2 linked regions of the Diceros bicornis minor genome follow. The protein of the gene in region 1 interacts with the protein of each later gene in a pairwise test. Links are inferred from orthologs where the notes say so. Each region holds a gene or a part of one and is shown on either strand. Other genes may lie near its edges. The genes, in order: DNAJB11 and UBR1.

Region 1 (11,592 bases):
TAGATGCTAATTACTTTTTCTTTTCTTGCTGGGCACATAATTAGATGATACTTCCCAGCTTCCCTTGAAGTTAAATATGGTATAACTGGGTTATAGTCAATGGAATGTGGGTGGATTTATGTATACCACTTTCAAGCCTCCCAAAAAGTGAAGGACTCTGAGGTCCTGCTGGGCACGGCTGTGGCAAATTGTATTATATTTGCAATTGTTCGCTTCCCCATCCTCCGAGAGGCTTATACAACTCTACTCATGGCCACGGCATTTCCCTAGCTCCCATGAGGTAGTTTACCTTCCCATCTTATTGATTTTAGGCATGGACATGTGACAAAGCTTTAGCCAATGGAATGAAAGCTGTAGTTTGTGTCACTTCAGAGCAAAAGTTTTGAGAGGCATATCATGAGTTGGCTGCTGCTCTGTTGCTCTTCCCTTCTGTCACAAGAACAGCCACGACCTACACAGAAGCTGTTTCTTCAGCGTGGGTCCCCAAATGAGGAGACACATAGAGCCAAGCCACAGCCTGGGAGAGAGCCACAGCTAAGGTACAACCTACATGTAAAATAAGCAAGAAAGAAACCCTTGTTACTATAGGCCACTGGAATTTCATTTTTGTTTGTTTTTAACTGCAGCAAAGCTGACTAATATAATAGTGGCTCCAAAGGTAGAAGACACCTAGATCCCTGAGTCACTGCTTGGACAACAGCAGCCTAGAGACTCATCCGACCAGATGCCCTGTGTTGGATGGCTGCATGAATGAGAATAAACTGTGATTGTGCTAAGCCACTGAAATGCAGGGATTGCTTGCTACATAATTAGCCTACTTTGATTAATATACTTTCTCTGTCAAGTCTTTCCTGATTATCAGAATTAATCATTCTCTTCTTTATTCTATTTCTGTACTTTATGCATACTTTTATTATTGTACATTCCACACTATTAAATAGCACTTTTTTACACACCAGCCTCCCCTACTAGTCTATGAGCTCCATGAGGGCAGAGACGCTGTTCTAATCATCTTTGAATGATTAGAAGATGCTCACTTAAAAACAGTAAGGTGCTCTGAGTGTAACATATCAGTGGTTCATAAGCAATCTCTCACCTAAAAATATTTTTAAAGTCAATGAAAGTATTTCCCTCTTTCAATTACAGGGTTCCTGTAACATTATTGTTTTGGAAACATAACATACATACATATACAAACATACATATACATATACAACCAGACCTGATTTCTTTGCTTTTCGACTTCATCCTCAGACATGCAGTTGGACAGAATCTCAGACCATTCCAGGCGCTCCTCCGGTGTCTTCACTGCAAGACTATCAAATATTTCGAAGTAAAGCCACGCCAGATCCTTAGCCAACTGCAGCTTCCCACATGCAATGTGCCTCCATGTAGACCAGTACAGGCGTGGGTAAGCTCTCTCTGTGGCCCTGGTTCGCACATAGGTAGATATCTTCCTGAGATAGTGAAGACTGAACTTGGATGGAGGGGGGACCTGCAAGGCACCCACTATAAAAGGTTCTGCTTTCACCCAGAGGAGAACTCCGGACTGATCCATGTTATCTCTAAGGACATCTGTGTGAAAAGGTTTCTTTGCATACCTAGGAAACAAAGTTTCTTCACAAACTGATTCCAAACAAAACTCATTTGTACATTTTCTGGTAACATGACCCCTCCTTTAACGTTTTTAAATGTACTATGTCAGTTTAAAAAGCAGATCTAGTTCATCAACCAAGAGCAGAATAGATTTTTGGTCAGATCTCATTATAATCTATTTGAGCAAGAAAAATTTTGTGATAAAACAAAATTATCCTACTTGAATTGTTCCAAGTGATTGCTTTAGAAAGAGTGTGTAAATGCAAGAGGTATAAGTTGGATCTCTCCTCAGGACAAGAAGAAAAGAAGAAATGGGGAAAAGGGTCAGCCTATCATAGAAAATTTTGCTCTACTCTTAGGCGAACACTAGTCAAAATAAGGGGAATAAAATTTTCAGAGTCAAATCACTTACACATAGAGGACAATTGGTTAAAGATTTGTTAGCCGACCATATAAGCTCAATATGAAACGCTAACAGGAGGTGGCAGACAAGAATGCTCGTGTAAATGTAGGCTGCAAAAACAGATGAAGTTAAAGAATCTTTATTCTCTGTAACAGTGAACCTGCTCTGGCATATTTTATTGCGCTTCGTTCAGATGCGGTATTTTTAGATTTTTTTTATTGTTTCTTCGTTATAACAACAATACACTATTTTATGGAATATTTATAAAATATCTAAAAACAGAAGGGAAGCAAATCATCCACAGTCCCACCATCAAAGGGAAATTAGTTAATATTTTATTGTACTTCCTTCTTGTCTTTTTTTCTACACAGACTGGATGTTGGTTTTTGAATTTTCATAGTTGCGATAATACCATATATACAATCTGTATTATTTTAAAAGCTTCATAGCACTCTAAACAAATGTACCTCAGTTTACTCAACTGTTTTCCTATTTTCAGATATTTAGTAGTTTTAAAATTTTTCACAAAAATAAGATAGGCAAAATATTGATCATTGTTGAAGCTGGATGATGAGCACATGAGGGTTCATTTACCTACTCTACTTTTGTGTATGTTAAAATTTTCCACTATAAAAAGTTTAAATGTTTTCATTATTATAAAAAATGCTAAATTACCATCTTTCTACATATTTTCTGCATTATGATTATTTTCCAGAGAAAATTTTCAGATGTGCATTTGTGAAATGAAGTAATTGACCTTTCTGAAGCTCCTGACACGTATTTCTACTGCTTTCCAAAATGACTATCAAATTGTACCAACATTTGACCAAGGTACCCTCTTCATTGAACACTCCTCAGCATTAAGTAACAGCACTTAAAAAACCATATTCAGGGGCTGCCCCAGCGGCTTAGTGGTTAAGTTCCCGTGCTTTGCTTCAGTGGCCTGGGGTTTTGCAGGTTCAGACCCCCAGGTTTGGATCCCTGGCCCAGACCTACAAACTGCTCATCAAGCCACACTGTGGCTACATCCCATATACAAAACAGAGGAAGATGGGCACAGATGTTAGCTCAGAGCTAAATCTTCCTCAGCAAAAAGAGGAAGACTGGCACTGGATGTTAGCTCAGGGCCAATCTTCCTCAGAAAAAAAAAAAAACATCCTTACATGAGTGATGAAAAATGTTTTATTGCTATTATTATATTTTGCATTTGATTCTAAAAAAATCGTCCTTCTTTGGGGAATTATCTGTTCAAAAAATAGTTGATATCAATTCAGTGCTTACTATGTGCCAGGAAGCATGCTAAATATTTTGTGTTCTTCACCTCCTCTCGTCCTCACAACCGCTTGGAGATACACACAGTTATCCCCATTTTCAGATGAGAAAACTGAGGCTTGGAGAAGGGACTTACCCAAAGTCACACACTTATGTTGGCACAGCCCTGGATTAGAATTCAAGTCTGTCTGATCTGAGAACTGTGTTATTTACAAATGTACTTTAAGAACCCAGTTTTGGGAGAATCTCTGAAAAATGGGCGGGGATCCAGGAGAGGATTACCAGAATGAGTGGCCTTAGACGTGAGGCCATATAAGGGCCAGGTGAAGGAACACGGGAGCAGGAACACAAAAGAAGGGTGTGAGAGGGTAAATGGCAGCTGTCTTTAAACATGGGAATGGCTTAGCGTCGCTCCGAGTAAAACCAGACGATGGAAGTGACGTGAGGAAGATCCTGGTTCGCCCCCAAATGGAAATAGGCTGCTGCGTGAGGCCTGAGCTCTTGTCCCTAAAGTGTGCCATCAAAAGCCAGCTCCCGGGGATGAACCGTCTATTCTACCTCCGAGATTCGAGAGGGCTACATTCGTAAACACATAAACCGGGGCTCTTTCCCTCTTCAAAAGCTTCCCCGGGGTGCGCTGGGGTCAGGGTTTTTCGGGCGGGGAGATCGGCGTGAGGATCAAGGCGGTCCTCCTGAGGCTTCTCCGCCACCTCGGACGCTGTCCGGGGTAGGACGCTGTCCGGGGTAGGACGCGGTCCCAGGGGCGGGCGCGGTCCGGGAGCGGGCGCGGCGAGGGCCGCCAAAGCGCCCCGACCGGACTTCGGGAACAGAGAAGCCCCGCGTGTCAGGGTGCTTGGCGGACCCGAGACCTGATGAGCACGAAGGCAGCCTCCCCAGCCCGAGCCTGAAGCGTAACGGGCCTACCTCTCCCTCCCAGGCGCCAGCCCGCGCGAGTTACCTGAGAAGGCAGGCGCCGCTCCGCCGACCCTCCGCGCGCCGCCGCGCCCTGCTCGCCTGGCCCGCCCCTCAGCCACCGCGCAAGCGCGCGGCCTCGCATCACCGAGACCCGGAGGACTACGCTGCTAGAGCGGCCGACTGCTTCCCCCGCGGTCTGCGGAAACTTTGGCTAAGGCCAAGAGATGCTGGGACCTGGAGCCAGACCCCACCGCTTTCTGGTGTCGCGCCTTTCAACTCAGGGGAGTAGGAAGTTTTCTGTTGCTCCACGGAACTGTGGTAGCCAATAGGTGCTGGTAGGGTCGGCACACTTTGATCAGCAATAATAATGATAATGACAGCTTACATTTATAGAGAGCTTACTATGGGCTGGACACTGTGTAAAACCCCTTTGTATTATCTCAGTCTTCCCACGAGCCCTTTAAGTTAAGTACATTTGTTTTCCTGATGAGGAAACTAGGTCGTAGAGAGGTGAAAGTAACACACCCCTAAGGGCACACAGCAAGAGAGGAGCCAAGATACAAATCCAGGCCGGCGAGAGCCCCCAGGGTTAGCTCCTTAATTCTGTTAGCTTTCTCGCCATGTTACCACCTTCATGAAGCTTGTTTGCATTCCACCCAGCAGAAGACCTCACTCCTTCCTCTAAACCTTCATTTCATGATTTTTGGCCATTTCTTGCTTTCTTAGTTCGTTTATGGACTCTCTAGATGTGGGAGATACAAAGGTAAATAAGGCCATCAAGCGAAGTTTAGTTCTTCCTTTACGTGGCCTCTCTCCCCTAATAGGCACTTCCTGAAAGCAGTAAGCTGTGTTTCTCTTACCTCTGCATGAGTCACTATGTGAAGAGCATGGGCTTTGGATTCAAACAGATCTGGGTTAGGATCCAAGCTGCACGACTAAGTAGCTCAGTGACCTTCAACAGATTCTGTCATCTCTCTATGCCTTTGTTTTCTGCAACAAGTATTTACTGAGCACCACTGTGTGTCTGGCACAGTGCTAAGCACTAGGATTACAGTGTGAACAAAACAGATAAGGTCCTTGCTTTCTTGGAGTGTATATTTTAATAGGGAGAATAGATAATACATATTAAGGAAATAAATTAGGATAATTTCAGATATTAATAAATGCTATGAAGTTTGGGGGTAAGGGGATCAGTGCCAAATTTGAGCTGAAGCCTGAAGAATAAGAAGCCAGCATATGAAGATCACAGTCAAAGCAACTTTTTACTCGGTGGCAGTCTCTGTTCTAAGGTTCGGTTCTACACAGATGTGAAGAGAACAGTTCAGATTCATGGTCTCATGAAAATGGCATTCCAGTGTATGTGAGTGTGGGGGTCAGGGGTAGAAACAATAAGATAAAATAGGGTGGTGTAAGAATAAGGACTCAGGCCAGCCCTGGTGGCCTATTGGTTAAGTCCCGCGTGCTCTGCTTTGGTGGCCCGAGTTTGGTTCGCGGGCTCAGACTTACACCACTTGTCTGACAGTGGCCATGCAGCGGTGGCGGCTCACATACAAAAGATGAGGAAGATTGGCAGCGGATGTTAGCTCAGAGGGACTCTTCTTCAGCAAAAGTAAAAAAAAAAAAGGACTCAGCAGGGGCTAATTTTGATTGGTTGGTCTTCTCTGAAGTGACATTTAAGCTGATATCTGAGTTTAAAAAGGAGTCACTTATGTTAGGATCTAAGGGAAGAGTGTTTCAGGCAGAGAGAACAGCTAGAACAAACGCCATTGGCAGGAATGAGTTTGGTGTATTCAAAAAAGAGAAAGGAAACCAGTTTTGCTGGAACATGGTAAGGAGTATACTAGATGAGGGTACAGATCATATAAGGTTTTTAAAAAATTTTCTTCCAGCTTTATTGAGACATATAAGGTTTTATAAACTAGCATAAAAAGTTGGGATTTTATTCTAAGTGCACTGAAAAGCCATTCGAGTCTGAAGCAGGGGAATGACACGATCTGACATGTTTGTAAAAAAAATCATGGGGTGGGGGGCAGGAATGAACAAGAGATATTAAGAGTGGAGGCAGGGAGACCAGTTAGGAGGCCCTTGCCAGGTAAGAGATGATGTGACTTGGCCCAGAGAGGTAGTCGAGATGTACAGTAGCGGGCAGATTCAGGATATAGTTTAAGAGCAAAGATCTGGATAGGGGATGCAGGAGAGGAATCAAGGAAGACACCTAGAATTTTGTCGTTAACAACTAGGTAGTGCGTTCACTGAGATAAGCAAAAGTAGGTGGGGGGAATCAAAGAGTTCTCGTAACTGTGATAAGTTATTATTCGTTGCGTGCTTACAGTGTGCCAGACGGTTTACAAATTTTTCTCCCCCTAAAATTTCACACCACTGCCAGTAAATGTTTTGCCTCAGGTTCGTAAATAAAGAAGCTTGGCTAAAGTGGGAGGCGAGGGACGGAGGTGTTCTCACCGCTAAGAAGTGGTGGGAGCTGAATCCGAAGCTAAGTCTCTCTGCCTCCACGGCCTCTTCTCTCTGAGGTACCAGGCCTCTCCTCTGTGAAACAGAGACAATTTTCTCCTTGGCTTGTTAGGAGAAGGTGAAAAAAGATCTCCCAAGCGATGCGTCCGCCATACCATTGGCCTGGAGTAATTGTCCCCGCCCATTTCGCCCTAGTCCCTCCGCCCCTTCGCATCCAGCGCGTAGCTCATTATGAATGAAATTCCGAGACTTGTAACCGAGATAAAACGTCCCTCCCGCAATTGGTTAATGCTGGAGGAGGAGCCTCGTGATTGGTGGAGAGTCCGAGGAGGCGGGCGGGGTAAACTTCGTGTACCTCGGGTGTCCTCTATTGGCACCATTTCCCCCCACCCGTTTACGTAGTTTTCTACGACTCGCGGATGCCGGGGTGCCGGATTCCTGCGGCGGCGCGACTATCTGACGTTTCCTCTTCTCATTGGCCGGGAGCTGCGGCTGCAGTTCCGAAGCCTAACTGGCCGCCCGCACCGCCTCGAAGGTGAAGTGTACTGCGCTGATTGGCTGCGAGGCACCGGCCGCGTGTGATGTCCTGAGCAGCGATTGGCTCTCGCCTGCTGGGGGCTTCTCTCACTGGGACTCGGGACTCCCGGGAAGTGGAGGGGCAGAGGAGGGGGCAAGCTAGCTGTCGCTCTGGCCTTAGTGGGAAACCCCGGCGTGAGGTGGTTTCTCAGGGCGGGGTGGGCTGGCGAGCCGACGCGGCGGCGGAGGAGGCTGTGAGGAGCGCGTGGGACAGGGGCCGGCACAGGGACCGGCACAGAGAAATCATGGCCCCGCAGAACCTGGGCACCTTCTGCCTGTTGCTGCTGTACCTCATCGGGGCTGTGATCGCCGGGTGAGGAACAGGCACCTGTGGGCACGGGGCCCGCGAGTCAGTCTTGGCTGGGGAGGAGGCTGGGGGAGGGAGAGGGCATTGCTGTGGTGAGGCGGTGAGACAGAGGAATGGGTAATGTGGGCCAGGCTAATGGGGTGGAGAGGAGAGCAGTGCGTGACACGATGGAGAGGAGCTTAGATCCACGGGCCCTGAAGAGCTAGATTTGCCCAGAGGAGTGGGAGTTGGATGCAGTGCCAAACACAACGTGTATGTGTTGGGTGGGAGGGGGTGTGCTGAGCTAGAGAAGAGGACGATACAGTGTTGATCCTGCACGAACCGTTGAGGGACTGTCATTTAAAGTGGGTGGGTTATGATGCTAGGCCGAGTGAGGAAGGGGAGAACAGATAGGGAAGCCATCCTGGGACTGAAGGAAATTGGATTGAGGGAGCAAGGCAGACCCTTTGGAGAGCCCTTGTACTTCCCAGCTTCTTGAGATAAGGAGCCTAAACTGTCTTCGTGCCTCACTGTCTCTCTCCATGGTACATTCTTGAGAAGCTGAATGCTATTATGAGCGGGAAGAGCATTTCATCAACAGATAGTAGACTGGGATTTTAGCCTACACACTCCCACCCCATTTATGAATTATATGACCTTGAAGGAACCACCTAAATTCTCATCTGTAACATGAGGGTGATAATGCACCACCTGTCTGAAGGGAGTAGGACCGCCTGAACTCGAGGATCTTTCCAGCCTTTAAGATCCATGATCCCATAAGCCTGGTGACCACAGGATATGATATGCAAGGCTCATATTTTAGAGTGTTGGGAAGTAAGGTCTTAGCTTCTAATAACTTATAGGTTGCTCTAAATGGAGAAGATGCTACCTAGCAGAGCTTTAACATTTAAGTGCTTGTTATTCTCTTAAAAATTTTTTCCCTGTTCATATATGCTTAAACTTTATAGTTATTTTTTTTCTTGTGAAACATCTTAAATTTCTAAAAAAAATTAACTTCTCCTAGGTAATACTTTGTTTTTCTTAGTACGTTTTTGTTAGTACTTTTTACATTTAAAAGCAACAAGTACTGTAAGGTGTTTAAACAAAATGTCTCTATAAATATTGTTAATACTGTCACTTTAAACTTCAGTCCTTCATAAAGGAGTCTCTTGGAAACTGTAATGTTGATGCTGAGCTATGCCAGCCATCTTTTTCTTGTATTTTTCTGAGCTGTTACTTAACCATTTTTTTATTAAGCATATTCTATGTAAGCCTCATTCTTTATACAGTTAGCTCTTTTGTTATTAATTTTAATGAACCTTTCAATTTATTTAGTTCTTGTCACAAGAGATATCAAGTTTTCGCATTTTTAGGGGGAGCATAAAGCACCTAATTAATCCTCGTGGAACCCCTTTTGGGTGATAACTTTAAAAACTTATACATGAAATGATTAAATGATTTTCCTAAGTGTGACTAAGAGCTTATGAAATAATTTTTTTAATATTCTGTCTCACATCACCTGGCTCTCAGTACCCCAATGCATTTTTTCCCCACTGCATTTTAAAATTACCATCACTACTACATCAGCGTCTCCATTGTGAACAACTTTCCTATCCCTTTTCTTGGAAGAAGGCATTTTCAGAATAACTTCTGGTGGCTAAAGTGACTCTGGCAAAAGGAATAGATTTTTGTGGGCATGCTTATTTATTCATTTCATTCAACAAATATTTATTGGTGTCTTCTATGGGCTGGAAACAGTCCCTGCCCTGAAAGTTTATTATAGTCTTATTCTATCTTCGCATTGGCCCTTCTTGCAAAGATTCTCTTTACAATTAATTTGGTTCCAGCATAGTCCCTGGCAAGGAGGTCAGTGGATCTCTACCTTATCTCCACGCTCATGCCATATGCATATTTGCAGCTGCTGAGGCTTACAGGCTCCTGCATACGGGCTTCAGCAGCTGTCTACAATTAAGACTTGACCTAGACAAACTCGTATAACTGCTAGCAATGACTGCAAGATTGATATTTTTTCTCTCAGCAAAAAACCCCACAACTCATACATCCAAATGGGTGTAATTCTTTCTTCAAGGTTCTTATTTGGGCTTTGGCTTAACCTCTAAATTAACCTCTGAAGTTAACTTCAGTCACTTCATCTTTAACATTCCAACAGTGCTGCTGGTAGTCAGAACATTTATGTGACATAATCTTTTTGAATAAAGAAAGTCATCCTCTGAGATTATTTGACCTTTGGAAACAGTCAAAAGTCATTTGAAGTCAGTAATAGGGAGAAGAAGGAGAGAGTTAATTTGATTATACCGTTATTGGTTGAAAAGAACATGTGGCCATAAAATAAGAAAATGGTTTTCTTGACTAAAGGAATTCTGTAGATGTTTTGAATAATTCTAGCATTGTTCAAAAAATACATAGCCTCTTGAAGAGGCTTGTGAAGAAATCACAAGAAGAAATCTTGTGATTTCTTCAATATTTAAGACTCATTACAAATTATGATGTGTTCTCTTTTTAGTCTTTCTTTTTTGTGTATGTGTGTTACATGTGTACCTTCATTTTCCTACATCTTTGCTCAGACGTAAACCTAAATGTAAAGGAAAAAGCTTTGCTTTAAAAATGTAATGTATAACTCTTTAATGAAGTATCCTCTTTGTCTACCCCCTCCCCAGGCGAGATTTCTATAAGATCTTGGGGGTGCCTCGCAGTGCCTCTATAAAGGATATTAAAAAGGCCTACAGGAAACTAGCCCTGCAGCTTCATCCTGACCGGAACCCTGATGATCCACGAGCACAGGAGAAGTTCCAGGATCTGGGTGCTGCTTATGAGGTGAGTCAGGAAAAAGGGTAAAGTATGAATAAAACCTACGGATACAGAAAAGACCATGTAACACAGAGTAACACTTCTTCTTTTTAAAAATAGACAGTAGATAAAAGTAAAAGTACTGTGTGGTGCTATGTTGTACATTCATGTTAGTAAATGCCATTTCCTGCCTTTTTCATATTAGTATTTGTTTTATTAAGGAGAATAATGTTGAAAAAGGTGAGTGAAAGAAAGAAAGGAAGATTGATAGATTAATAAGTTGATTGATCATCAGGCAGTCAGTTTGGGAGCTGGAGCCAGAAAGAGAAACAAAATCTAAATGAGGATTGCAAACCATATGCCCATATGGACCAGACAAATAACATGCAGGGCAGGTATAAGATAAAACATGACAGTGGATTTTCTTACTTCCATTTTGGGAATCAACAGATATTGATGAGGACTGTGATAGACTGACACCTTCCTTGCCCCATTTCAAGGGAGTAGCTCTTATTCAACCCTAGCCAGTTTTTGCCATATACAAATGCAAACACTGTGTTGCCAGATCATTTAATTTTTCAAGAGAAGTGGAAATCCAGATTTTTATATAGATTCTCCTGATTGTAAAATTTTGGTAACTAATTGAATTTAAAAATTACTTTTCACGCAGATCAAACAAAACACAGCTATAGTTTGAATTTGGAACCTCTAATCTAGAGGTCAAAACACCTTCATGTGTATCATCTCATTTAATCTTTACTAGTACACTGTGAAATAGAGTAGAGCTGGGCATATTCTTATTCCCATTTTTTTTAAACAACACCAAAGAATATTTATTGAATGCTTAATAAACTGTTTACTCTTGAAAAACTGTTATACACAGAACCTGTCAACACTTTGGTAAAAAAATTTACAAATAAGCTATTGATAATCTTTCACATCTATTAATTTAGGAGTTAGCTCTTTTGTATGTGTTGCAATTCACCTTTCCTTTAGAAATAGAATAAGAGATCTTGGTTTTGTTTTTTTTCCTGCTTTATTGAGGTATAATTGACAAAATTGTAAGATATTTACAGTGTACATCATGATGATTTGATATACATATATATTATGAAAGGATTCAGCCCATCTGGTTAATTAACACGTCCATCACCTCACATATTTATCCTTTTTTTGGTGAGAACATTTAAGTTCTGCTTTCTTAGCAAATTTCAATAATACAATACAGTGTTATCAACTCTAGCCACCATTTATTCCCGTTTTCTAA
Region 2 (10,977 bases), on another chromosome or scaffold:
CTGTATGTGGGACACGGCCTCAGCATGGCCAGAGAAGTGGTGCGTTGGTGCACACCCAGGATCCAAACCCGGGCTGCCAGCAGCGGAGGGCGCCCATTTAACCGCTAAGCCATGGGGCCGGCCCTTGCCACTCTTATTCAACACAGTACTGGAGGTTCTGGCCAGAGCAATTAGGCAAGAAAAAGGAATAAAAGGAATCCAAATAGGCAACGAAGAAGTGAAACCGTCGCTGTTTGCAGATGACATGATCTTATATATAGAAAACCCTAAAGAACCATTAGAAAACTATTAGAAATAATCAACAACTACAGCCAAGTGGCAGGGTACAAAATCAACTTACAGAAATCAGTTGCATTTCTATATACCAACAACGAACTGACAGAAAGAGAACTCAAGAAGACAATCCTATTTACAACTGCAACAAAAAGAATAAAATATCTAGGAATAAATTTAACCAAGGAAGTGAAAGACCTATACCATGAAAACTATAAGACACTATTGAGCGAAATCAATGATGACATAAAGAAATGGAAAAATATTCCTTGCACTTGGATTGGAAGAATAAATATAGTTAAAATGTCCATACTACCTAAAGCAATCTACAGATTCAATGCAATCCCAATCAGAATCCCAAGGACATTCTTCACAGAAATAGAACAAAGAATACTAACATTCATATGGGGCAACAAAAGACCCCGTATAGCTAAAGCAATCCTGAAAAAGAACAAGGCTGGAGGCATCACAATCCCTGACTTCAAAACATACTACAAAGCGATAGTAATGAAAACAGCATGGTACTGGTACAAAAACAGACACACAGATCAATGGAACAGAATTGAAAGTCCAGAAATAAAACCTCATATCTATGGGCAGCTAATCTTTGACAAAGGAACTAAGGACATACAGCGGAGAAAGGAAAGTCTCTTCAATAAATGGTGCTGGGAAAATGGACAGCCACTTGCAAAAGAATGAAAGTAGAACACCTTCTTTCGCCATACACAAAAATTAACTCAAAATGGATCAAAGACCTGAAGGTGAGACCTGAAACTATAAAACTCCTGGAGGAGAATATAGGTAGTACACTACTCGCCATCAGCCATAAAGGGATCTTCTTGAATTCCATGTCTACTCAGACAAGGGAAACAAAAGAAAAAATAAACAAGTAGGACTTCATCAGATTAAAGAGCTTCTACAAGGCAAGTGAAACCAGGATGAAAATGAATAGGGAACCCACCAGCTGGGAAAAAATATTTGCAAACCGTATATCTGACAAGGGATTAATCTCCATAATATATAAAGAACTCACACAACTGAATAACAAAAAAACAAACAACTCAATCAAAAAATGGGCAGAGGAAATGAACAGACACTTCTCCAAAGAAGATATACAGATAGCCAATAGGCATATGAAAAGATGCTCAACATCACTAGTCATCAGGGAAATGCAAATCAAAACCACACTAAGATATCACCTTACACCCATTAGAATGGCTATAATCACCAAGACAAAAAGCAACAAATGCTGGAGAGGCTGTGGAGAAATGGGAACCCTAATCCACTGCTGGTGAGAGTGCAAACTGGTGCAGCCTCTATGGAAAACAGTATGAAGATTCCTCAAAAAATTAAAAACAGAAATACCTTATGATCCAGCTATCCCACTACTGGGTATCTACCCAACGAACCTGAAACCAACAATCCAAAGAGGCTTATGCACCTCTATGTTCATTGCAGCATTATTCACTATAGCCAAGACATGGAGGCAACCCAAGTGTCCCTCAACTGATGAATGGATAAAGAAGATGTGGTATATATATATACCATGGAATACTACTCAGCCATAAAGAAAGACAAAATTGTCCCATTTGCAACAACATGGATGGACCTGGAGAGTATTATGTTAAGTGAAATAAGCCAGAAAGAGAAAGACAAACAGTGCATGATTGCACTCATATGTGGAAGATAAACCAACACATGCACAGATAGAACTATTTGGTGGTTACCAGGGGGTGGGGGGTGGGCACAAGGGGTGGAGGGATGCACTTATAGGAGGACTGATAAACAATAATGTACAACAAAAATTTCACAAAAAAAAAAACATTTTACACAAGGAATAAATAGTTATTAAGAAAATACAGTTAGGTAGAAAGAAGAAAATAAAAATTTCCACAATTATGCAATCCTGGGATACCCAAGAGTAACACTTTGGTCATTAGTATTTTTCATTAAATATCTAGGTGCATTTTTTGTCTTACAAAAATAGATTCATAGTGTTTTAGTAACTTGCTTTTTCCAACCGATAATATATAGTGAATATCTTACCAAGTCAATAAGAATGCTTTTACAACAATGGCTTTCAAGTTATATGGTCTCAGGATCTTTTCATACTCTTAAAAGTTGGGGATCTCAAAGATATTCCTTTTATGTAGATTATATCTACTGATATTCACTGTATTAGAAAATAAAACTGAGAAAATTTTAAAATATCTATCAATTTGTTTAAAATAAGAATTATCAACTCAATACATGTTAACATAAATAACATTTTTAAATAAAAAATAAGTTTTCCAAACCAAAAATGTATTGAAAAGTGTGGCAATGTTTTGCATTTTTGCAAATCTCTTTAAAAGAAGACAGCTCGGTTCTCACATCTGCTTCTGCACTCAATCTATTGTGATATGTTGTTTTGGTTGAAGTATATGAAGAAAATCTGGCTTCACACAGATACATAGTTGGAATAGGGAGGAATATTTCAATAGTGTTTTCAGATAACTGTGGATATTCTTCTTTGAAACTACACCAGAGCTGGGCAAATAGTAAAATCTTAAAGATCAACTCAACGTGGAATCTGAAATCATATCAATGAAATTTTTGTACTCCATAACATTAAATTCTATTGGTCTATTCAGCAACATGAATGGATCTTTTACCTATGCTTGATCTAGTAACATCCTGCATTTGTCATTTGGAAAATATTGGTTCAGTGAGTTAAACAGATCTTCCAAATGTCAATACATTTCAATATACAATATCCAAAAAATCATACATGTTAATATCATCACCAGTTTCTTTGGGACTTTGTCAAACTCACAGTGCCAGAGACAAGTTCTCCACAAAATGTTTATTTGAAAGCTTGATTTCTATCATAGAGAACAAAATCTGTTAGTTGTTTTTCTTGAAGAGAAAGGCTCACTTGTTCATATCTGAGAAAATGCCTGTCAAATATCTAAGTCTGAAAACCCTAGGGAATCTGTCAGTTGCTCTTTTAAGTAAATATGGTTTTCCATGAAAAAAAGTGGCCAGTTCAGGTAGCAAATCAATCACAGAAGTGCTTCTCAAGTCAACCATCATACTTTTTTACACAGCAGGAAAGCTTTATGTGTGCTTCCTCCTTCATCACATACAGAATATTTAAAAGACTCATGAGTGGGCCAGCCCCATGGCTTAGCAGTTAAGTGCGCGCGCTCTGCTACTGGCAGCCCGGGTTCGGATCCCGGGCACGCACGAACGCACCGCTTCTTCAGCCATGCTGAGGAGGTGTCCCACCTACAGCAACTAGAAGGATGTGCAACTATGACATACAACTATCTACTGGGGCTTTGGGGAGAAAAAGGGGGAAAAAAAAAAGGAGGATTGGCAATAGATGTTAGCTCAGAGCCAGTCTTCCTCACCAAAAAAAAAAAAAAAGAGGAGGATTGGCATGGATGTTAGCTCAGGGCTGATCTTCCTCACACACACACAAAAAAGACTCATGAGTTGAGATTTAATAAAATTAATAATTTTTACTGCTTCATCACAGACATTGTTAAGAGAAACACACTTTTTTTTTTTAACTGCAAGAGCATGGTGGTGAAGAAATTACTAATTCCTAGTTTGTAAGTCACTTTGCTGACTAGTTGAGTTTGATGCCACTAGCTTTATTTTGTGGTAAGGGGCCAGCAGTTTCACCTACTATTGCTTCTGCACTATAAGTACAAATACCAACATGGTTTTAAAAAAAGGCACATAACTTCTTTGTTATTACTGTACTATAAAAAGTTTTTACTTCACAGAATTCGAGTCTTGAGAACTCTTAGAGGGTCTGTGGACCACAATTTGAGAATCAATGTTCTACAACATTTTTAATGGCTGCAGGGTATTACATTGCATGGGTGACTACAGTTAATTTAGCCGATATCCTTTCTTGTTGGACTTTTGAGTTGTTTCTAATTTTTCTCCATTTCTAGTAATGATGTAGTTAAAATTTCACTTGCATCCTGAATTATTTCTCTAGGACACAGTCTTAAAAATGGAATTGCTGAGCCAAAGAGTATGCATTTAAAAAAAAATGCCTTTTGGGGGCCGGCCTGGTGATGTATTGGTTAAGCTCACATGCTCTGCTTAGGTGGCCCAGGGTTCACAGGTTCGAATCCTGGGCTCGGCCAACGTACCACTCATCAAGCCATGCTGTGGTGGTGTCCCACATACAAAGTAGAGGAAGATGGGGAGAGATGTTAGTTCAGAGCAAATCTTCCTCAGCAAAGAGAGGGAGATTGGCAACAGATGTTAGCTCAGGGCCAATCTTCCTCACTGAAAAAAAAAAAAAAGGCTTCTGAATATTACCACATTGTCTTCTTGTGGGTTTACCAATTTACATAACCACACATGAGTATCCTTCCAGCTTACCAATAATGGTTATCATTTTTTTTTTTAAAGCATTTTTTTTTTCTGGGAAAGATTTGCCATGAGCTAACATCTGTTGCTAATCTTCCTCTTTTTTTCTTTTTCTCCTCCTTAAAGCCCCAGTAGTTATATATTCTAGTTGTAAGTCCTTCCAGTTCTTCTATATGAGCGACTGCCACAGCACCGCTACTGAAAAGACAAGTGGTGTGGTTCCTTGCAGGAACCGAACCCAGGCTGCTGAAGGGCAGCCTGCCAAACTTGAATCACTAGGCCATCAGGGCTGGCTCAACAATGGTTACCTTTAAGAAAAAAAAAAAACTTACCAAATTTTTAGGCAATATATAGAATCCCATTTCTGCTTAATTTGCATTTATTTGCCTACTAGATAGGTTTTTAAATACATTTATAAAAATCGGTAAGTTGCATATTTATGTATTTTGCCCTTTTTCCTATTGGAATAGTCTCATTTGGGGTTTTATCCTTTAGTCTGTCATGAATGTTGTAGACATTTCTTCCCAGTTTTTGTTTACTTTTTAACTTTGTGTAGTTTATTTTATATGTAAGTTATTAATTTTGATAAAATTACTTATCAGTCTTTTTATATTTTCTGCTTTTGGTGTCATGCTTTAAAAAGCCTTCTCCATCCCAATATTAAAGAAATATTTACTTATTTGCTTTCTTTTTTAGTAGTTAACTCATCAATTCATTGGGAATTATTCTGATATATGATTTGAGATGAAGATCTGACTTAATCTTTTCCCAAACAGTTTATTTCTTTCCAGAGTGTTATGAGCTTTATTACTATTTTTCCCTTTGTTAAAAAAAATATTTTAACATCATTTGTTTTGTAAACAATTTAAAACAATATAAATGAAGCTAACGTAGCTCTTGACCACCTTCCTCCTCTCTTGGTCCTCAGAGCTAACTATTATTAGTTTGTTCTCTTCCCTTTCAGGCTGTTTCCTTCATATTTACATGTAGGTAAGCACAAATATATAGTTTGTGGCAACTTGGTTGTTTTTCCCCCCTCAATTAATTTATCTTTATCTTTTTACATAAATCTATCTTGTTTTTTTTAAAGAGCTGCATCGTGTCCCGTAATGCAAATGTACCACATTTATTCTGTCTTCCCTCTACCGAAGAACGACTAGAAGGTTTCCAATTTTTCATTTCTTCAGCACCTCCCCCCAAAACGCTGGGGCTCAAGCTTTCTTGTGGCAGGTACAAGTGGCCACAGACTACATTCCTAAAGATGGAAGAGCTTTGAGTACTTTTTCATTTTGCGGGCTCTGGGGAGCCACTGCAGGTACGTCGAGAGACAAAACAAACCCAGACCAACAACCGGGCCAGGAGACCCAGTACAGGTCCTTGGCCTCTCACAATTTTCTTCCTTTCACAATGGACGCTGAATTTGTTTTTTACCTCGCAGACGCAACGGTTCCCAGGACCGAAACCGAATTTACAGCCACTCACCCACCAAGCACTATGATTAAGAAATTACGGGAAGGAAAACCTCCAGCCGTACACGCCACGCCGTGATGCTTGCTTCCGGGAAGCGGAACGGAAGCCGCTCTTCGATTCTGCGTCAAACTCGACTTCAGGGGCCGTCGTAAAAGTGTCGCCCCTCGTCTCTCGAACCGGTCACAGGTTTCCGCTTGTCTCCGGCCGGGGGTCTGGAACTACGGGCGTCAGTTTCCCTCAAGATGGCGGAGAAGGAGGCGGTGGGTAGGGAGAGAATGGAAGTCAGCACGGAGTTGCCCCAGAACCCTCAGCGACTGGCGTCTGTAAGTCTTTGTGGGCAAGTTCCTCCCATCCTCCCCAAGTCCGTCCCTACCGCGCTCAGGAAGATGTGGGACTTCACCCCTTATGGAGGCTCTGGGGAGGGGAAGTCGTATGGATTGATCTGGAAGGAAGCCGCTTAATAAAAAGTTAATCATCACCCACACTCCTGCAGGCCAAGTCTACGGAAGATAATGACTTTGCCATTTATTAGTCTTGACGAGCTCAAGCGTGTCTCTATCCTGAAGTAGAAAGAACTGCTGATGTTATTAGAGGGTCTGGTGTGGGGGCTGAGGCGGGGTTACAGGAAGAGCCATTTTTCCTATAGACGCAGTGCTAACCTTTCTTGGTGGTAGGAATCCAGGACGCAGCACCTAGTGTTGTATTGCATAGCTGGCTGGGTGGAGCCTGATAGTGGCAGGAAATGCTGCCACTGTCAACTCATGTCAAGATATGGGGTGTAGAAATTGTAGTCCTTCATTCTAACGTCTTGAGAACCCCAGGCCTAATCCTCAGTGGAAAAACCTGTCATCTGTCGCTGCTATTTAAAGGTGAAGAAGAGACTTCCAGACATTTCAAATCAGCAATACCTTTAATTAATTTCGGAATGTATACTTTGCCCTTATATTTTGAAAGAAGGGGAGGGCAGAGATAGTGAGCAAATTTGAATCAATAGTCTGGCTACAGGGAGAAAGCTGACTGAGGAGTAAGGGGTAATATTAGGGAACGCTCTGGATGTCCCCAGGCATCTAGTGAGGAGATATATAGAAAATATTCAAATGTTGATCACTGCATGATGTTGAGTTTATCAGTTTGTCTTTGTTGCTGCATATAGAAAAGTGTGGGATGTACACCTCTTCCTGAAGTTTCTCTGGTTTGTAGTTTTAATAAAAGCATTCTTGAAGTATTTTAACCCTGCAGACACTTGAGCATTGTTTTATGAGAGAACAGAGTGAGCTCCAGAAATAAGAGACCGGCTGGGAGATAAAAAACAGGTAGGGAGGGAGTTGAAATAAAGGTTTGGCCACCAACTAGGGCAGTGCTTGCAACCATCCTCTACCCCAAAAAACAGTTCAACCTCTTCACCTGGTATTGAAGAAGGAAGCATCTATTTGAGATGATAAGAAATGAGAAGACAGGGAAAGTTTAGAAGCAACTAAAACATCTGGTCTTAATGATAGCTTGTGCTTTGTACATCTTAGAAGGAGTGGAGAAACTAGGTGCTGTGGTCAGATGTGTTGCTGTAATTTTGTATTGCCAAAGGTAACTAGTGCTGATTTAAAGCTTTGATATATTAATTCCTTCCAGGTGGTACAGTAAAACCTTATCAATCTGGACTTCACTTATTTGGAATTGGAGATAATGGTACAGGAATAAAGCTAGAATTAGGAGGCAAACTCTTTACTTCAAGAAATATTAGATTTCTTTAGATAAGGCTTTGAATTTTGCAAAGTAGTAGGTTGATTTCAGAAGTGTAATAGCCTCAGGGAACTCACAGTCTAGTGACAGATAAGACAAGTGCTCAAAGAATTGTAATACAAGATACGGTGGTGGTAAGTGGATGAAGACTTGTGACTGTTAAGCCTCATGATCACTTTTTTGGCTTAGATCTATCTACTTGAGGACTCCAGATATCTTCCTACTTTCCTTTTCTTTTTAAAGCTACCATCTTCAATTTTATCCTGACAGTGGACTAGGATACTGACTTTCCAGTTTACTTCTTTGCTGTTAAGCAAAACAAGTTCAGAGATTCTTTAACATTTGAATGATTTGTATTCTAAATCACCATTCGGAGACAGGGAAAACAAAAATAATAAATATGGGACAGTTACAGAGGTTTAAGAAATCTTACCAGCTTTATTAGAATCTTGTTCCTGGTTATAGTTTCTGTTATTCTTAAATCAAACTTCCTTCTTAGACCCCACGTCATTTTTCTGTCATATTGCTATCAACAAGCATGAAGGCTCTCAAATTCCTAACATCACCTAACATGCAATTAGTGTGAAATAATAGGTATGAATTATCGGACATTTATAAAAGCCATTGCTTAAGAATCGTTAGAGAAGTTGATTCTGTAGGTCTGGGGTGGGGTCCAAGAATTTGCGTTTTCACAAGCATGGCCTGCTGATTCTGAAATCCTGGTCTGTGGGCCACATTTTGAGTAAGACTTAGCTAGACATTTGGAAGTTCTCAATATAGAATTGACAGTCGAGGTTGTGGGAATGGATAAGATCTTTGAGGAGGAGAGATAGAGAGAGAAAAAGAGAGACAGTGTGTGTGTGTGTACATGTACGCAGAGAGAGAGAGACAGACACACATGCACAGAGGGAGGGAGGGAGAGGGAGAGAGGAAGAAGGAGGAGAGACTGGAATGATTGAATTTCAGGGGTAGAAGATGGAGGAAGAGCCAGGGAAGGACCTAGAAAGGGAGCAGCCAAGCAGGTAGGAGGTGAGAGTAGTGCAGTGTCATAGGGTGTAGTTTCTACAAGAAAGTGGTTTATTGGATTCAGGAAGATGAGGACTGAGAAAACAATATTTTTTTTAATTTTTTGAGGAAGATTGGCCCTGTGCTAATATTTGTTGCCAATCTTCTTTTTTTTCTTTTTTCTCCCCAAAGCCCCAGTACATAGTTGGGATCATAGTTGTAGAGTTGTGGGTCTTTTATGTGGGACTCCGCCTCAGCATGGCTTGATGAGTGGGGAGTAGGTCCGTGCCCAGGATCCGAAGTGGTGAACCCTGGGCCACCAAAGCGGAACGCGGGAACCCAACCACTTCGCCACCAGGCTGGCCTCTGTGAGAAAAATTTTAACTCAGAGAGTATGTGGGATGGTCTGACAGAACGTCTGCCTTCTGTCTTCTTTGACTGGATTTTCTTTCATAGGTCCATCTCAGAAGATGTCTCCTGGCAGGGTACTAAGCTGTCTTCTTTTCCCTGTCTATGCCCTCTGTCTCTGTGATTTCATCCAGTTCTGTGGCTTTAAATATCATCTGTATGCGTTCAGTTCCCAAATTTATATCTCTAAGTCATCTCACTTCTGAGCTCCAGAATCACAAATCCAAATGCCTACTTGACGTATCTACTTGGATGTCTGATAAGTGTTTCAAACACAGGGAGCAATTAGGAAGCTGCTGCAGTAACCCAAGTTATAGTTGATGGTGGCTTGTACTAGAGAGCTGTCACTAGAGATGAAGAGAAGTGGATGGATTTGAGAGAGATTTTGGAAGTATTGTAGAAGTAAAAAGATTTGCTTATGGATTAGGCATGAGGGAAAAGGGAGGAAACAGATGACATCTGGGTCCGCAGTTTTTGGCTTAGGCATTCATGGCTGTGGTTGTGCCATATACTGAGAGGAAGGACCGGGTTTGGGGAGAGGAAAGGAAGGGGGCAGATCAAGAGTTTTGTTATCCCTGTCTCAGTAGATGACACTTCTATAATAGCTCTTGAATAGAAACAACTCTCTCTGTTTCCACTCCACCTCTCTAGTCCAAGCCATCATCTGTTGCCTAGGCAATTGCATTGCCTCTTAATTGGTCTCTTTGCTTCCATTTTTGCCCTCTTCCAGTCCATTCTCTACAGAGCAACCAGAGTAGTAATCTTTTTAAGACTAAATCAGATCATGTCAGTCTCCTGCCTAAATCCTTCAGTGGCTTCCCATTGTACTTGGAATAAAATCTAAACTCATTACAAGTCCTTCAAGATTCTGCCTGATCCAGCCCCTACATCTCCCCTCATTTCTTGTTACTTTCTCCTCATTCACTTTTAGCCACCCTGGGCTTGTTAGTTTCTAAAACAAGCCCAAGCTCTATCTTGCTTCAGGCCCTGCACCTTAGCTTGCTGTTCTTTTTTCCTAGAGTGTTTGTCCTATGATTTTTCTTGATACTCACTCTGTCTAAAAGATGGGTTCCTCTTATCAGTCTCTGTCAAAGCACCCTGTTTATTTCCTCCACTGCACCTATGACCATTTGTAATTACTGTATTGTCTTTACTTATTTAAATGTCTGTCTCTCCCACCAGAATGTAAGCTCCATGAAGGCAAGAATCATGTGTGACTTCTTCACTGATGTATCCCAGTATGCACTTGATATAACAGACATTTACATACTCTTAATGAGTAACTGAGGATCAACCTCAGTGATTTATTTTAGCAAGATTGGTAGTGATTGGGGAGGGAGGTTGTGGATAGAGGGAGGGAGAAAAGTGAGGAGGAATGTTAGGGTAGTGGCTAACCTTGGAGTCCAGGCTAAACAGGGAAGTAAGAAAGGCCAAGGGAATTTGTGGGATTTGAGGTATTAAAGGTTATGTTGTTGACGTAAGTGGAAGGACTGAACGTTATCATCAGAAAGGGGAATTTTGGAGTTTGAAAACATGAAGGCACATCAAGTTTTTGTCATAGCCAGGTTAGATGCGCCTCTGTGCATTCCTGTAGTACCCTTTCCATACTCTGTTGTATATAGCGTGTCTCAAGCTGTGCTCAGCATTGCCTGTTTACTGTCTGTCTTTCCTTCTAGACAGTAAACTCCTTGAGAGCATGAACTGTTT

The links.
Region 2: the proteins of DNAJB11 (region 1) and UBR1 interact in a two-hybrid assay, tested with the Homo sapiens proteins (2 studies listed by BioGRID and IntAct). The link is inferred for Diceros bicornis minor from reciprocal best matches to the Homo sapiens genes DNAJB11 and UBR1.

What each region holds. Positions count from the first base shown.
Region 1 is NC_080754.1:37,417,570-37,429,161, reverse strand, and holds the start of DNAJB11 (dnaJ homolog subfamily B member 11), read left to right. Parts: upstream 1-7,342; 5' UTR 7,343-7,476; coding exon 7,477-7,544; intron 7,545-10,195; coding exon 10,196-10,352; intron 10,353-11,592. Other genes in the region: TBCCD1 (TBCC domain-containing protein 1), read right to left, coding at 1,223-1,558. UniProt on the Homo sapiens protein: As a co-chaperone for HSPA5 it is required for proper folding, trafficking or degradation of proteins.
Region 2 is NC_080744.1:40,572,051-40,583,027, reverse strand, and holds the start of UBR1 (E3 ubiquitin-protein ligase UBR1), read left to right. Parts: upstream 1-6,115; 5' UTR 6,116-6,362; coding exon 6,363-6,443; intron 6,444-10,977. UniProt on the Homo sapiens protein: E3 ubiquitin-protein ligase which is a component of the N-end rule pathway. Recognizes and binds proteins bearing specific N-terminal residues that are destabilizing according to the N-end rule, leading to their ubiquitination and subsequent degradation.